Arabidopsis thaliana: one gene and its partner. The protein of the gene in region 1 interacts with the protein of each later gene in a pairwise test. Each region holds a gene or a part of one and is shown on either strand. Other genes may lie near its edges.

Region 1 (9,919 bases):
TTACAAATTTTGATGTCTTTAAAACAGACACTTTAGTTAATTATGAGTTATCAATGCACTAAGTTTCATTTTCTGTTTTATTTTTTTTTGTGAAAACTCTATGTTTTACTTAATATAAAAACCTTAAATATTACTTTTTTGGGTGAAATGCAAATACATGTATTGCCAATTGTCTTGAAAGTCGAATAATAAATGAACCCTCCCACTTCACCAAAAATTAAGAGCAAGTAAAAAATTTATCACCTTGAATGTTTTTTTTACTGGATTTTTCCCAAAAATTATATTAAAAGAACTAATATGCATCATGTATAATAATACATTTGATACATGATTTTGAATTATACAAATTAATTTCTTTTCATTATGGTAATTTGCTTTCAACAGTTTAAGATTATTGTTAGACTTTTAAACAAAAATATTTTATTAGATATTTTCATGAATCCATTACACATCTACATATACATTTTTGCAACCACTTTGTGAAATAAATCCTCAAGTTGAGACTTATTTACAGTGTCTGTCACTAACATTTAATAATTGTTTTTGATAATTAGAAAGTAAATCTTCGAATTAAATATTTGACATTTAACTATCTTCCCAAAATCTCTCTACATTAACTACACGATTAGTTACTAAAATAAAACTTCCAAAATATTTAACCTCATTTAAAAATTACAAAATTATCATTTTTTATATTGCTTTTTTGCATAACTATAACAATTCGATTATAAGCATCAAACCGTTAAGATATTTGATATCAGTTAATTACTACAAAATTACAAAATATTTAGACAATAATTCATAAACATACCATAAATAAAATCAACATTAATAAAATAAATAAGTATTTTTACGTGACGGGTTGGCGGGACGGATTTGGCAGGACGTTACTTAATAACAATTGTAAATTATAAAATAAAAATATTTTATAGATAGATACAAGTTGCAAATTTTTCTATATATTAACTTTAAAAAAATATATTATCCCCGCGGTATACCGCGGGTTAAAATCTAGTGAGTTACAATATGGGTTAAATGGAAATAAATATTCTTATTTTTTAATATAATAAATGAAATGTCAAGCAATTGTTATTATTAGAACTCCAACCAGATAAGCTAATGAAATAAAATTCCAATTGTTTTGTTTTATTATTTAGCATAAGTATAGTTTTATTTATTTTTAACTTCATATTATGGAAAAAGTAGGGAAAATATATCTCTAAGTTAAATATTAAGCTTTTTGTAAATTGAAACCATAATTTTTTTATATAATTAATTTAAGATTATGTAACAATTGTTATTAGTTAAACTCCAAACAAATCAGCCAATAAAATTAAAAATTCTCAAATTTTATTAGATAACATGTGTCAACATCTCGCTTTTTTTGTTTTTCCTCGGTAAAATCATCATCTCTGCTTTTTCACCACTTACTTCCCTGATCTTATGTATATAAATCCTATCTGCTAGGAACTCACAATATCCTACTTCTTCCACCTTTCGTACGACATAATTTCCATAGATGAACAACTGAAAAATGGCCATCTCATCAAAGAGATTGATAGTTTTAGTTTCTCATACTCTGAGCTCTATAAAGAAGTTCCATTTCTTCTTGCAGTAACTATAAGATGTACATTTTTATCTTGGCAACAAGACTGTACATGTTTCCCCCATATAATTTGTATAGGAATTTTCATTGAAGAAATTATCAAATATCCCAGAAAAACTTACATCTACTTTTCTTCAAGTGAGTGAAAGTATTCCCAGTAACATTGGTTTTGCAGCTGAGCATGCCTACGAGAGAACTCTTGTGCTTAATGCACTGATTTGTTGGAGACTTTGTGATTGAACCAACACATAGGCACTTCACTAGTAAAAACATCTGTCTAGTTCCGTTTGTGAAGTTCGATCTTCTTTGGAGAAAGATGCTCAGGACTTAGTGTCATGTTCTTGACCAGATTCATTGCCTTGGAATCCCCATAACTCTTTAGCTATCGCATCCCCCTCCTCTGAAAAATATAAATCTCATTAGTCTCTAATCAAGTGATATCTATAATCATACACAAACAGTGATATAAACTCGAAACCTGGCTTCAATTTTTCAGGATCTGGTAACTCCTGCTTTTTGAAAGGATTACTACATTCAGCTTTACTCGATGATTTCTGAGAGTGTAATGGTATCTGCGAGTATACATTATGCAATTTTTTATGTAACTCTTCCATCTTTCCTGATATTTCATCAGCTCTGTCCATATCTATGAGAACCTGAAAAGAAACACATCAATCAAGCACCGAGAAGACGCATAAACTGCAGTAGGAACATCAAAGGTTTTGGTTACATTTAATATACCTGGGCAGGATTTTTGTTGAAAATGGGCGCAAACCTCTGCCGACAATACTCACTAAAAAGTAACGTGAGAAGAATTAACGGTATGGTGAAACCCGAAGCAACTGTTGATAGCTTTAATCCGAAAAACCCCAAAGCTATAATCTGTGTCAAGATCAGTGAAAAGATTGTTGTGTTGTGGAAAATAGGCCAGTATTGTCCACCGCTTTCGTACTTCGTAATATACACGTTGAGTATCTGCAAATAGAAACAATTCTGTTGAGCATCTACAAAGGGTTGTCTTTAAAAATATATATCAAGAGTTCTTTTTACTCAATGCATGAGCTTGGCACTACTAATGGCTCTTATCACATTGTACATGACTATAAACATTGCAGAAGCAAAATTCCGAAAAGCACAAATCCAATTTCCATCTAAAACATGCAGGTCACAAAGTAACTAAGCTTTCACAAATTAGGTACAAGTCCATTATGATGCTTTTGGAGAGATTAACTGTGATATTATGTACAAGAGATCAGAGAACACACTTACTTGATTTTTGTATATGAGATATGCAAGGAAAAAGTATATCAGCAAAAACGGCAGTATCAGTGGTGCTATGACTGAATTGGTGAAACCCAGGAGCCCAAACAAAAGCAGCCGAGGAATTTCGGTGTGGTATGGGAACCTAAGTGTTTCATATGACTCATCCTCGTTCTTGGTAACAACTTTTGCTACCAGATTCCAGATAAGAGCCATAGGCTGCATTATTTCACAAGCCAAACTGGCCCAACCAGATGTGAAACAATAGGTCATGAAGAAGCCAGCCTGCATACATGGTTAAAGCCATATTCAAAATCAATGATACAATTTTCATTTTTCCTAATAAATATGAAACACAAGCAACCAGAAAAGCTCAATCCCAAATAATTCCTCCAATGGGCTTTAATATCTCTGATATATAATTTTATCATGGAACGAGGAAAAAGAACAAACTATTAAAGTTCCAGCGCAAGAAAACACTATATCCAATCCGAAAGCTGCAAGATCTTGGCAAAATGTAACCTAGCTAATGTTCAGAGACTGTAGAAACCTGAACATTAGCAAAATTCAAACTTTTGCTCTGAAATGTAAAAGGACTATGGGTAAATTACCTGTGTTGGCACTGCTCTAGCAAGTTGTGCAGGTATGTCTCTGACACTAGAAAAGACATTCAGTTGCCTGATAACAGACCCTGATAATATATTCACGAAGAACACATTCCAAATGGTAAAATATAAGACTTTGATGCAAGCACTCTTCTTCCTTATACTCCGTGAAATACATCCCTCCAAGGCCGAAAAATACATCATCAATGGTGGAACGGCATAGAAAAATAGAATCAAGATCACACTGGGTAAGTACCCTGTGATGACCTGGTTTATAAAGTTCCTGCAAAATGGTTTTGGTGGCCCGATTAACTTGAAAGATGATAAAACAAATCAAGAACATAAATTTTGATTTCTCCAATGGTTTGAAAGCTATAGAGAAGGCTCGTGTGTTCTATACTGCACCGGAGTTCCGCCTACTTTTTAACGCCAATTCTAATATCATGTCCAGAAGAAACAAAACCATATATATATACATGCGTAAGGAACCAGCAGGGCACTCACTTGCTCAAGATGCCTCTTAGAAAAGGAAATGCGTGAGACAGCTGCACTAGTTGAGTCAGCCCTTGAATGAAGGTAACGGGAATAAGAAACACAAACATGAAAGCAACTGCACCAACAAGGGTTGCTATTTTCCGTATCCAAAGTTGTCGATAAGGAATGTTGAGATTCTTCCAGTACACATCATGAGGTTCTGGGGCTAAGTCTGTCACCCATAACATAGGATTTGATGATTGTAGAACCTCCGAAACAACAAGAGCATCATAGCGAGTCTTAAAAAACACAAAAGCAGCTGAACGTTCCTGCAAAACGCAGAAAATTTTGTGGCTTTAGTAAGCTATTCTATATTGTGACTAATTAAAATCAAGCATTGCTACTTCTAATCGCTACCACAAAAGTGAAAAATCTTAGTTAACTATACTGAATTGTCGAATATGGTGCTACAAATCATTAATGATGGTTTAAAACTGTACCGAGTAAACAAAACTATACAAGTCTATGCAGTATCAGACAATCAGACTGCCACTTCCAAAGTTCAATTTGTATCCCATTAAAGTAAAAGAAGTCTTTATCTGTCAGGACCAGGTGAAAAACTGAGAAGAAATGCAGTGGAAACTTCTAAATCAGTTTGTAATGTTAGTTGAAACGATCCTCTCCACTGGACAGAAGAAATAACAGATATCCACATCCTATGCCTAGATCAGGGAAAGACAGAAGAATTCCTTACTTGCTCTGTCGTAGTCGTAGTCATAGTCAACTCACCAAGCTCCATTCCTTTCACACTGTCTGCCTCATTCGATAGGATATGAAAAGAACTTGTGGCTGTAGGTCCTCCACAAAAGGTGCATGGCCTTAAACTCGGTTTACAATTGATTTCAGGAGAAACGTGTTTTAGAGTCTGGCACATCCTCTCCGCATCACGCTGAGACAGAAATTGGAATAATCTAAACGTCACACTTTTTATCTGACATAGAACATTAAATTTCAAATACTTTATCACAAGCACAAACCATCCACATATCATTTACCCAATTTCTACAACATGCTGACAGGTAATAAATGAGAAACTGATGTAGTGATACTGAAATAACCACAGTATCAGAAAGCAGTAGAATGAAAGCCCAGCAGTAGGATACAGACAGAGTTGCTCTAGAAGGTCCTTTCATATTCCCAGAATATGCATCTAAACTGTACCCCTTTTAGCTGATACACGAACTAAATTTCATTATTATATCTACTGTGCTATGTAATATCATCAATCTCTGCATCTAGTCATCAAATAACCCTTTATAACATCCAAGCAGCACATAACAATTCAGAACCATGAAATTTACACCAACTACGAAAGCTATCAACCAAAATGAATACTGCAATAAGAAGTAACACTTAAAGCTGGCAAAATGTTCAAAACTTCAAATCATTTTCACAAAGAGCAATAACAGTTTTTTAAAATAAATCTAGGTGACGGTTTTAATCTGACAAGTAAAGCAAGAGGAAGGTGGCCTGCGTAATAGTTTAGTTAAAAATGACTGTTCCAAGAAATATACGTACCAGCAGTCTCTGAATGATGCCATTATGGTAGACCATTTGGTGGGACACGTAGCTGGACGAGTAGTAGTTTGTGAAGAATTTGCTCAGCGTGTCGCTGTAAGATTGCTCAGGAGACCATGGAATAGCACGGATAAGAACGGTAAATTGACTTGGCTTTGAGGCACATCCAGTAATATGCCCAAGCCTCATTTTAGCTATGGTGCTATACTCCTACAGTATAAAAAAAATGTCAAAAGGTTGGGAAATAAACTAATAAGAAGATACATGGAGGAACCAAGAGTAAGTATTCAAGTATGCTGTATGCATGAGATAAACTAAGGTACGAGGTCCTCACAAAGTAGAGCAGAAGACATGCCGCTGAGGTTATAATGTACAGTGCAAGACAATGAACCCACAGCCTGAGAGCAATAAATGTAATGAGAAAAAATCAGCACTTTACACACTCTGCATAGAGTAACATCTTTCAAAGAGACATAGGTAGAGATAAAAAAAAACATTTACCATTTTGAGCCTTCTTTAAGATTTTCAATTGTAAACACTTCGGATGACTCCAAATGGATTTCCTTATGCACCATCGGTTGCCCATAATAATTAACAGGCAGCACAAAGGCAATGCAAATAACAGCAACTATAAAGAAAATACGAATGCTGCAGAACAAAAAACACAAAGTAAAACAAACACTACAGAACAAAACCAAGAAGCAGAACAAAGAAAAAGCATCTGGGAGAGTTTATTTTCAGTAACCTGAAAATGACCATCCTAAGGAAGACGACAGCATCAAGACCAGCAGCAGCTAATAACTCGTCTTCACTAGTCTCCCATGCTTTCACAAGCCAACTTGGAGACGGCACAAACCTCTCATACCAAAAAGGATCATAACGTCTAGCACCACCACAAACAAGCCTTCGGCCAAAATATACACAGTAATTGGCTGGCTGTTTCCTAAGTATGGAGTAAAGTGATAAAAGAACTATGCATATCGAAATATTAATTCCAGCAGATGTAAGAAGAGCTGATATCTCCATCTTAATCTTAGTTCAACTCCTTCCTGACTAAAAATCGCAGGAAGAGAAGAACTTCATAAGTACGTCGTCTCGTCACAAGATGGCCAACCTAGCAATACAGGAGGTTCTTAGATTGGCAGGAGAAACTGTAAGAAAACATCACAAAAAGAAAAAAGATAAGAACATCGAAATAACAAAAGTCCTGAAATCCAATGCTTAAAAAAACAGATAGGCTAACGAAACACCGCGAAAGAGACTGATAAACAATCGTCGATCAAACGTGTAAGTTGAATCCAAACTATCTTAACACTAACCAAAACTTTCTGCATTTGCATTGCAGATACGAAAAATTGGAAACATGAATCAAATCATAATCAGTACCTAAACTTGCAGAGGAAGATAAGTTGGTTACATACGACCCAAAGATAACAAACAACATAATGCACTGAGATTCAATTTCAAGTTATCAATTTCTGTTTTCCGTTAATCAAAATTACGATTCGCAATTTCAATGGTGCCTAAACAATAAAGTAGAACTACGATAGATGAAAACGCGGAAACGTAGAACAAACAATGAATCAGAGAATCGCATTCCACTAAATCCAGTGAAACAAACACAATTTCGATTCCCAGGGAAATCAATCGAAGCAAAATCATCAAATCCAATTCGTCAGAAAAATTACAGATACAACACGAAGTTGTATAACAGAATAAACCAAATCGAAGAGATTTCAGAAAAAAAAAAAAAAACATGACTTACAGAGAGAAATACCAAAAACTTTGGTTTGACTTCAGAGAATTCGATTGCGAAGAGAACCAGAAGATTCAGAAACCCTAAGAATTCGCAGAGAAGAGAAGAGAAAAAAAAAAAAATGAAACACCGAATTGCTTTTAAAATTCCAATTCCGCGAAGAGTTCGCATTTCCAGTTCATTCAAATCATAACTTAAAATGAAAACATGCAAATAATTAAAATTAAATACAAATGATTAGGCCACGTTGTGTGGCCGGTGAAGAAGGGAGCGACGATTAGGCCACGTGTCGGTTATAAAATGGTTGATGCTCCAAGATTTGATACTATGTGAGAGCGACTACTCTGTGGTCGAATTTATTATGACCGTTGGTTTTGTGATAGAATGGGTAAGATAGCGACACGTGTGGGTGCGTTTTTTTTCACAACGTTCGCTCAAGTGTTAGTTAAAACTGTTATGACTATTGAAAAATTAAAGGAAAGGTGAAGAAGGAATCATGGATTTTGGATTCATGTGTTTCTTGTTGCAAGTGAGATATGCATGAGTATGACATAAAAGTTTTATTCAATATAGTACTACTAGGCCTGGACATTCGGTTAACCATTCGGTTTCGGTTCGGTTGCGCATGGTTTCGGTTATTTCGGTTATAGTAATATAAGAACCATTTTGGATATTTGAGGAATTTTGGTTCGGTTCGATTCGGATATCTTTCGGTTCGGTTCGGTTCGGATATTAAACTTGGTAACCATAAATAAACCAAAACCGAAATAACCGACTAAAAACCGAAACAAAAAAAAAAAATTGACCAATAACCGATATAGAACGTACGTAAAAAAAGATATATTCACAACTCACAAAGATGCAAATATGGTCCATACTCTCCATAATATTAAAATACCTGATTCACAACTCACAAAATTCAACTTGCAAACTAATAAAGAGAAGAACATAGTTAAGTGTCAATACATACAATATATGTGATATATTATCTATCATACATATATGCTTTGGTTATCCTTTGGTTATCGGTTACTAACCTAACCAAAACCGAAACCGAAATCTAAAACATATAATATCCAGCCGGTTATTTTAAGCTATCCAAACCCGAACCGAACCATGTTTTTCGGTTCGGCTCGGTTCGGTTAATCGGTTAGCGGTTCTTTTGCCCAGGCCTAAGTACTGTAGAATAGTTTTTTTTTTTTTTTCTTATGAAAGTAACATATGTATACTATTTTGGGTATTATTATACTAGTATGTTACAAAAGGAATAAAATAGTCTAAAACGTATAAAATTCCACTATTTGATTGTATATTTTTCCGTTGAAAATATTTATCTTTATCCCACCAAATATTATTATAGAAAAAGAATGAATATTTAAAATTTAAGATATGAATACATAGTGAGACATGAATTAAGATGAAAAAAAATTTGAAACAAAAAGATACAATTTTCTTTGATTCCTCAACATCAATAGACTTTGCTCAAATATTTATCGAGTAAATTGTCGACGATAACTTGATAAGCTCTTTCAGATGGATGATAGCTATCCCAAAATATGTATGATGAAGAATTAGAACACGTAAATGGGTTCAATGAGTTACATAAATAGGATATTGTGAGCAGTCCTTTACCGCAACATCCTTTATCGGCTACGTCAAAACCTAAAAGAAATGAGATAATTGGAATAAAATTTAGTTCGACAATAAAAATGAATTATAATATATAGTTTCTATATAGATAAATCTGTTAGATGAACTTACCGTATTTTTTAGGGTGTTGGATCATGTCAAAAAGAGTATCATAAACATTAATGTAAAGGATAACACCATCCAACTCTTTATCTAAAGAATCTAATGCTGGAGAAAGTCTTGCGTTGAATTGTTTTGCCATGTTGTTTAGAGGTTCATTACATCCTCTTGTAAAAAAACCTCCAAAAACTGTTCTTTGTAATGGAACACAACCAACGGGGACTGCACTAAACACTCCAATTTTTCGAGCTCCAAGCTTATGTAATTCCTAATTATCAGTTATAGATAAGATAAAATAGTTAGTGGATATAACAATATATTATTGATTAGTTTATGTATTATTATATATAACTACGAATAAAATACTTACTCTCACGAAATGGACAGCAGAGTCAGCCAAGAAATTGGCATAAGAGGTACGGTCATATCTATGAGCTTGAGCTAAATAAGTGTGAGCAAGGTCATTGCTACTAGACACCACAAGAAAGAAACTATGTTCCAAGATATCTTTGGCTTTTTCTTCTCCGAAATGCCTCTTGATCTTTGATATATATTCTTTGAAATATATGAGTTGATCCCATACCGATATCACTGACTACAAAAATAAACATAAATGTAACAAAAAGGAATCACCCATAAAAACAACTAACAGTCGTGATGGAAAAACATAAGATATATGGTACCATAATTTTTGCTGTCAATGGATCATAACCAGTTCCTCGAGATGCAAATGTTACACCTTTAAGAAGATCCTCAGGCTTCAAATATGAATTCATATATGCTGGTAATGTCTTAGCCAATCCCAACTTTTCCGCTGAAATATTTGATAACATATTTATCAGATTATATATATAAATAGATATGATTTATAATTTTGAAAAATATAAAAGT
Region 2 (7,392 bases), about 13 Mb from region 1:
ATCTGACGACCACACAATATTTTCTGATTATTAAAAGATACACTTGTTCTACAAGTGAATTACAACATCATATAAATTTTACACATCCAGAATCTGGATCTTTTATCTATATAGCAAATTAGCAAGCACTCTTTTGAACAATGAAGCATGCATGCTTTATCTACCAAGAAAGTAACAAAGAGTATCAATCATATACAAGATAACTAGAGAGCTGAAACTAGGTAGAGAGCATTATACCTCCCATATCAGAAGCCATTAAAATCTAATCTTTGTACTTGATAGTTACCACTGAGGTTCCAGTAACAAAACGGGTACCTACCAAAATCAACTAAAAATATGAAAACCTAAACCTAATTATTTTCCGAGATTCAAGAACACTAAAAGAGAGATTTTACAATGTTCTTTGGGATTCAGCCTCATCATTCTTCGCTCCATTCCCGTTCTCAACCGGAATAATGAGCACGATTAGAGAAAGTCATAACAGATCCATGAGCAATTGGAAATTTGATCTGACTTACAGTCATCTTTTCAGAAACTCGAATGTCTTAACGATCTCATCTTCTTCTTCTTCTTCTTCTTTATAAACTCATTATGTTAAAATCTAGTCCGCTAAAGGTCATTTATAGTTAAACTTAATGTACATGCATTTGCCTAAGGGCTGCTGTTATTTTGTTATGTTCAAATCAGTTCTTCCAAATTGTCTCGTCCGGAATTAAATTAATATACTTGCAAAAAAATTTGTTATATCTTAAATTTTGGTTTTTGTTAGTTTTTTTTGGATCACTAATAATTTGTAATGTTGAATTCATTTGGCTTTTTTTATTAGTCAACAATACTTTTAGACATTATCTATTATTAACTAACATGTTTGTGTTTCAATTTAACTAATTCATTAAGGCCATAGGAAAATCGTCAAATACTAACCACACAAAATAACTATAGATACTGTACTTTGGTGTCATTAAATTCAAATTGGACTTTCATGTTACCCAAAAAATGAATCGTTTTATAATTTTTATGTTTGTTATTGCGACGTATTTTGGATTGCTTGTATCAGTTCTGTCTTGTAAACGTAACACAATTGAAATTATGAACGAGCTTGGTCCCGGTTTGGTTCTCCAGTATCATTGTCATTCAAGAGACGACAATCTAGACGTAGCAAATTTATAATTTAAGGAAATAAAACAAATCCGTTTCGGAGACAAGCTAGGAAGAAGAACAAGATGGACTTGTCTTTTGAAACACGGCTTATACATGCGATATTATAAAGAATTCATAGCATATAGAGCAGGCAACATTGACCGATGTGGTGCTCTGCGTCGTTGGGTTGTTAGAAATGATGGAATTTACCTTGTGAGGGATCGAAATCCTCAACCAAAGTTCCATCATGCATGGAATAAAACTAAGTAATGTTGATGACAATACAATTTTTTTGTTTTTGACCCAAAATGTGCCTAAATTTGTATTAGCCCCGTATAATCTCCATTAATTGATGGATTACATGAAAGCTAAATGAGATAATTTGTTGTGTTTTTTCCATTCTTCTGTATTAAAAAATAAGACAAGGCCTGAATGTTTCCATGTAGAGACAACTCGTAGGAGACAACTAAAAAAAAAGTTTGATGCCTGATCATTTATGTACGTAGCATATGATGTAAAGCACAATAAAAATGTACAAATTGTGATGTACAATGTCTTAAACCATAAAAGAAATCAGTTGAAATTCGGGAAAACTATAAAATAAAAAATTATATATGTCAAACCATTTGACTCAAATGATACATCAATCAAAATAAATTCTTGAGACAATGCCAATGCCCAACCTAAACTTCTAAATATCTAGAAAGTGTCCAGCTAGTCTACGACAAAAGACCAAAACACGTGTCCAATTTAAGCATATGGGTTCCATTCGTGCGAAAAGGACACCCTAACTTGAAAAGGAAGGTAACCAACAAGATATATTCACTATCCGCAAACCTAAAACAAGAACTCATCCAACAGCAAAACCTTTCTCATTCCATGTTCCAGCTAATTCTCTAACACATTTTACCTCCCTTGTCCTGATTTGAATGTGCTTTCAAGCTCGGAAGGTCGCGAAGGTATGCTCGTCAGAGTATTATCTCCAAAAAAACACGAATCAAGAATAAGTTGAGGAAGAGGAGTGTCGTAATCAATTCCATAGATATCTTCCGAGTCACTGCTTCGTTCTGTGGGTTTCCATTGTACAACAAGTGAGACCAACACGTTGACAACGTGATTCATGTCGGGTCTATCTCGCGGTTCCCTGGAGCTACATTGATTGGCAAGCTCAGCTACTATGTTGATGCTTCTGAGTGTCTCTTCGTTGACCTCCATTGCTTCGTCTATCGCCTTTGGGAATGAGCCTTTGTTGATAAACATTCTCCTAAACCATGTGGCAAGATGTACTTCTTCCTCAGATCGTGCAACATCAAGAGCTTTTCGACCCGTTAGTAGCTCCATGAGGATGACTCCAAAGCTGTAAACATCAACCTTTGTTGTAACTCTTCCGGTCACTGCAATGTACATAGAGATTTCAATATTTTACATTTAGTGAGTTTAGAACGAGTAGCAACATACAAAATAAGCATAAAACCATACCTGCATACTCTGGTGCAAGATAACCAAATGTTCCAGCAATCTTGGTCTCAATTGATTGTGTACCTTCTGGTGCAAGCCGGACTAAACCAAAATCAGCAACTTTAGCATGCATGTCATCTCCAAGAAGAATATTAGAAGGTTTAAGATCTCTGTGTATGAAACTTTGATGTGCTAAAGTATGCAAATACTCAACTCCTCTAGCCACATCCAATGCAATAATCAACCGTCTAGTCCACTCGAGAGGCCTCAACCCTTCTTCCTTCCAATAGAAAATATGCCTACTTAATGTCCCTTGTGGCATGTACTGATAAACAAGAAGTCTCTCATTGCCTTCTAAGCAATAACCATGAAGAACCACTAGATTTCGGTGGCGAACTCTAGTAAGAACAGCAATCTCTGATTTAAACTCATCTAAACCCTTTCCACTTATAATCGAAGATTCCATTCTCTTAACCGCAATCTTTGTTCCATCATGCAACTCTCCCTTGTAAACTATTCCAAATCCTCCTCTCCCAAGTATATTCTTCTCATCGAAATTATATGTAGCATCCCTCAAAACTTGTATTGAGATCACAATATTTCCAGCTTCTCCTAGATGAGCGTCATTACCACTGAATCCACTTTCACTAACACCAGTACACAGATTCTCAATTGTAATCTTGAACGCATCTTGGTCACTAGATTGTTGTTGAGGATGCATCTTATGATATTGCATCTTTTTCTTGACCAAAAAGAAAATAGCAACCCCTATAAGAAGCAAAGCTAACAAAATACCAATAACAGAACCAACAATTTTCCCAGCATTACTAGATGCTTTCTTTCCAGCATTGCCATTAGGACAGTCCTCAAAATTCCCAGTCGTGTTAACAATAGTTGTGTTAAAACGAGGTACTTCACCACACAACCGATTCTTCGAAACATCCAGTGTTTTCAAGTTACTCAACTTAGCGAGCTCTTGTGGAATAGTACCATTAAGATTATTCTGAGAGAGATTAATAACACGAAGAGACGCAAAATCAGCAAATCGTGGAGATATAGTGCCGTTGAGCCCCAAGTTTTTGAAGTTGATAACTGTGATATCAGTTCCAGTACAAGTGATCCCTACCCATCCACTACAAGGATCATTTCCTTTCCATTTCTCCGCAAAATTCACCGGGTAACCAAAGGCTTCAACGATTGAAAGCAACGTGTTGACACGGGGATCACAAGAAGTACCTGGAGTATCTAAGCAGAAACTATTGAGACCATTCAGATCAGGCTTAATGTCAGGAGCCGTGAAGTTTGGAGTTGGTCCTTGAAGCAAGTTATTACCTAAAGCAACATCAGAAAGAGATTGCAGCTCAAACAAAGAAGAGGGAACGAGACCCGAAAGCTGATTCTCCCTAACATTGAAACTTTTCAACGAGACTAAACCAGAAAAGTCTGGTAAAGGACCGGAGAAGCTGTTCCCTTGCAGCGTAACATTGGTCAAAGAAGTCATCTTTTGCAGAAACGAAATTGACCCATGAAGCTTCTCCCTTCCCTTTTGCCCGTTAAGCATCAGAACTTGAACACGTGAGTCGGAGAAATTCATGGGAAATTCACATACAAGCGAGTTATAAGACAGTTTCAGAGTCGTCAAACTAGAGAAATCTTTCCCCTCGAAGAGATAATCCGGGATCTTCCCGGAAAGATTGCAGTTGACAGCAGAGAAATCTACAAGGGAAGTCGCGTTTTCCAAACTCGGAGGTATCACCCAAGAATCAAAAGGATTGTTATCCAGAGAAACATGCTGAAGAGAACTCAAACCAGAGAAGAAATCCTCAGGGACAGAAGTGAAATCATTGTCATTAGCATACACAGTTACCAACGATTTCAACCCAGCAAGACTCGGTATTGGTCCTGTTAAACGGTTCCTCATGACCTCGAACTTCGTCAAAGATGTTAGCTTTCCGAGATCAGGAGGTAGCTTTCCTGAGATTCCTCTGTCCCCGATTTGGATCGCGGTGACCCGATTGCTTGCGTCGCATTTTATGAACATAGACCACTTACAAGGATCCGACCCGGACCAGTTTGGATTTCCAGATAGCTTCAAGGAGTCTCTCAGAGCTATCATGACCGCCTCATCAGGGCTCGATTCAACGTTCACCAAGGCAATGAAACAGAGCAAAAGGAGGAAGTTTTTTGCGATCATTATCTTTTTTTTTCAACTGAGAAACAAACGCAGGGAGGCGTTGATTCACAGACAGTGATAGATTAGGGCTTAAAGACTTCAAAGGAAGAAACTTTTTGGGCGGAGATTTTCTTCTTCTTCTTGAATTGAATGAGAAAGGAAAAAACGAAACGGCAGATTTTATTGCTTTTTTTGGAAATATTAAATTGACTTGAGCGAGGGAAGTGCTTTTATTGTTATTTCCCATTTCTTGGTTTTGTTAATAAATGATTTGTTTCCTTTTCATCTGACCAAGGAAAGAATGTTAAAGGACGCAATCTTTCTGTATTTACAGGCCCAGATATATAAAAATCATAGATTTTAAGGCCCAGTATTATTTTCTTTTTTCTTTTGTGTAACTAGGCCCAGTATCTTATTTTAGTTTCTTTATTTGCTGAAATAGCATTTTAACAAAATGCATTTGCACTGTTCGTAAATCTACATTTCTTTATTATATTTTCTTTTTTGTATTTTTTTTTACTGAGATTTGTTTCTTTTTAAAAATAATGAAAATTCCAAAACTCTCATTTATTTATTTTGGAACGGTTTTATAGTTTTAGGCTTTTAGCATTATAAAATTGAATACAACTGAAATATATATGATTATAATAAACTAAAAAGAAACTTACTTTTATTGATAGTAAATTATAATTGTCAAATATCATATATTTTTTCTCATTGGAAGTTCTATAATCATTTGGACCAGTCCTACCATTTAACGGTGGTGTTTTTGATAAACTGAGGAAAATTACTGTTAGGAAAAACTTTAAAAGTAAGGGTTATCATGATCAAGTTCGTAGCAAATGACAAATTCGATATTCAATAACACAGAGCTATTCTAGCAACCAAACTGAGGTCTTACATCTATGCATATTATTGAGTCAAATAATTAGATGATTATCCTCTTTGTTTGCTCCTTTTTTTATTACTTTATTTTTAGGTCAAGTTTGAAGTTGGGTACTCACAAAAATACCTTTTTTTTTTGTCATCTGGATTATATTAGAAAATTAAAAGTTTCAGAATATGAAACCACCGATTACAAGGCTAAACTAAACCAAAGTGAAGCGAACAAGTTAGCCTACCACAAGACCCAACTCCAACATATTCAAAAGTGGTCTAAACAAAAAAGAATAAGCTCTGAACCATCGAGCACCACATAAGCCAAACCCTCCATATACAAACCATTGATCTCAAACACTGAGCATCAACACCAAAACGACTTCTCACTATCAAACAGAATACAAACCTCTTTCTTCAACAAACACACCATTCATCCAATAAGGATGCCCCACAGCCACATAGGATTGAGACCGAGACGCCTCCGTAACACTTTGGGCGATGAGGTTTGCTCCTCTGTTTGCAGCAGAAAATTCCAATTCCACCTTCCACACCAAAAAAGGTAACTATGATCTATTTAAAGCCACACTCTGAGCTTTAAAAGAAGGCCACGCCCTTGGTCTCAACACTGCACCAATCAGAGACTTATCTTGAAAGGCAAAGATAATATTATCAATTTTATGACTGGCCATACTCTCCATAGCCCATAGGAGACATCTGAGCAAAGCATCAGCCTTGCTAGAGATAGGAGCAAAAGAACGTCTACTGTGTAACAACACTATACCATCCTGATCTCTTAAAACCCAAGCCCCTCCAGCAAAATTGTTTCTTTTTTACCAAGAAGCCCCAATGTTACATTTAACCCAATTCGCTGGAGGTTTAATCCATAAATTCTCCGATACACTGCCTACAAAATGAACACCATTACTCAGGGGAGGATTAAGGGCAGAACCCTCACCATCTAAGCATTGAGCTTCAAACCATTCCACCACATCATCCCTAATCTTTATCACTGTATCAGTAGCTGGGTAGCTTATCCCCTCAAAGATGAAAGAGTTCCTATTTTTCCAAATCCTCCACAAAATCCATGGAAAAATTTTCCTGAGGTTAATAGGCCATTCTTTATTATCTTTGTTCTCCAAGAGATGATTGATGTTGGAATAAATAGAGCCGTTACTAAAACCATCAGGAGGAAAAGGATAATCAGAAAGAGCCCAAATTTGTCTAGAGAGTGGGCATAGAAACAAGGTATGATTCGTCGATTCCCCAAGCTCACCACAGACCTGACATGTGGTATCAACGACATTCCTCTACCATTCAAGTTCTCGGCAACCGGAAGAATACCACTAAGCACCTTCCAAAGAAAAATCTTAATCTTTGGATCAGTCTGAAGGTTCCACACCTGAGTTTTCAACCCTAGAGTAGAAGGCTGCATAGAGACTTCGCTTCTCAGATTTTGGCTCTTTGTTTGATAAGCTAACCAATAGGCAGACTTGACAGAAAAATCTCCACTTTTATTTAACTTCCAAACGAAAAAATCTGCTTGAGATATCACTGGTTTAATAGCTTTAATTCTGAGAATGTCTTCTGGCAGGAATAAGTCATGAAGAACCTCTTCATCCCAAAACCCCGTTCTTGGGTTTAACAAGGCTTTAACTTTTAAAGTCACATCATATATCAGGTTTTTTCTCCAAGGGGCCCTAAAACCATTATCATCTATCCAGGGATCTATCCATACAAACAAA

What was found. Proteins that work in one complex are often made in the same cells at the same time.
Region 2: the proteins of RXW8 (region 1) and AT1G24650 interact in a protein complementation assay, tested with the Arabidopsis thaliana proteins (one large-scale study listed by BioGRID).

The regions. Positions count from the first base shown.
Region 1 is NC_003070.9:21,730,173-21,740,091, reverse strand, and holds RXW8 (GDSL-like lipase/acylhydrolase superfamily protein), read right to left. Parts: upstream 7,527-9,919; 5' UTR 7,289-7,526; intron 6,675-7,288; exon of another isoform or gene 6,638-6,674; 5' UTR 6,550-6,637; coding exon 6,269-6,549; exon of another isoform or gene 6,172-6,268; coding exon 6,025-6,171; intron 5,922-6,024; coding exon 5,858-5,921; intron 5,734-5,857; coding exon 5,524-5,733; intron 4,895-5,523; coding exon 4,700-4,894; intron 4,275-4,699; coding exon 3,976-4,274; intron 3,755-3,975; coding exon 3,478-3,754; intron 3,152-3,477; coding exon 2,876-3,151; intron 2,582-2,875; coding exon 2,348-2,581; intron 2,263-2,347; coding exon 2,085-2,262; intron 2,007-2,084; coding exon 1,927-2,006; 3' UTR 1,342-1,926; downstream 1-1,341. Other genes in the region: AT1G58525 (GDSL-like lipase/acylhydrolase superfamily protein), read right to left, coding at 8,748-8,920, 9,041-9,296, 9,399-9,623, 9,712-9,842. UniProt on the Arabidopsis thaliana protein: Acts as an osmosensitive calcium-permeable cation channel.
Region 2 is NC_003070.9:8,731,970-8,739,361, reverse strand, and holds AT1G24650 (Leucine-rich repeat protein kinase family protein), read right to left. Parts: upstream 4,793-7,392; coding exon 2,620-4,792; intron 2,535-2,619; coding exon 2,047-2,534; downstream 1-2,046. UniProt on the Arabidopsis thaliana protein: Involved in auxin signal transduction and cell expansion and proliferation regulation.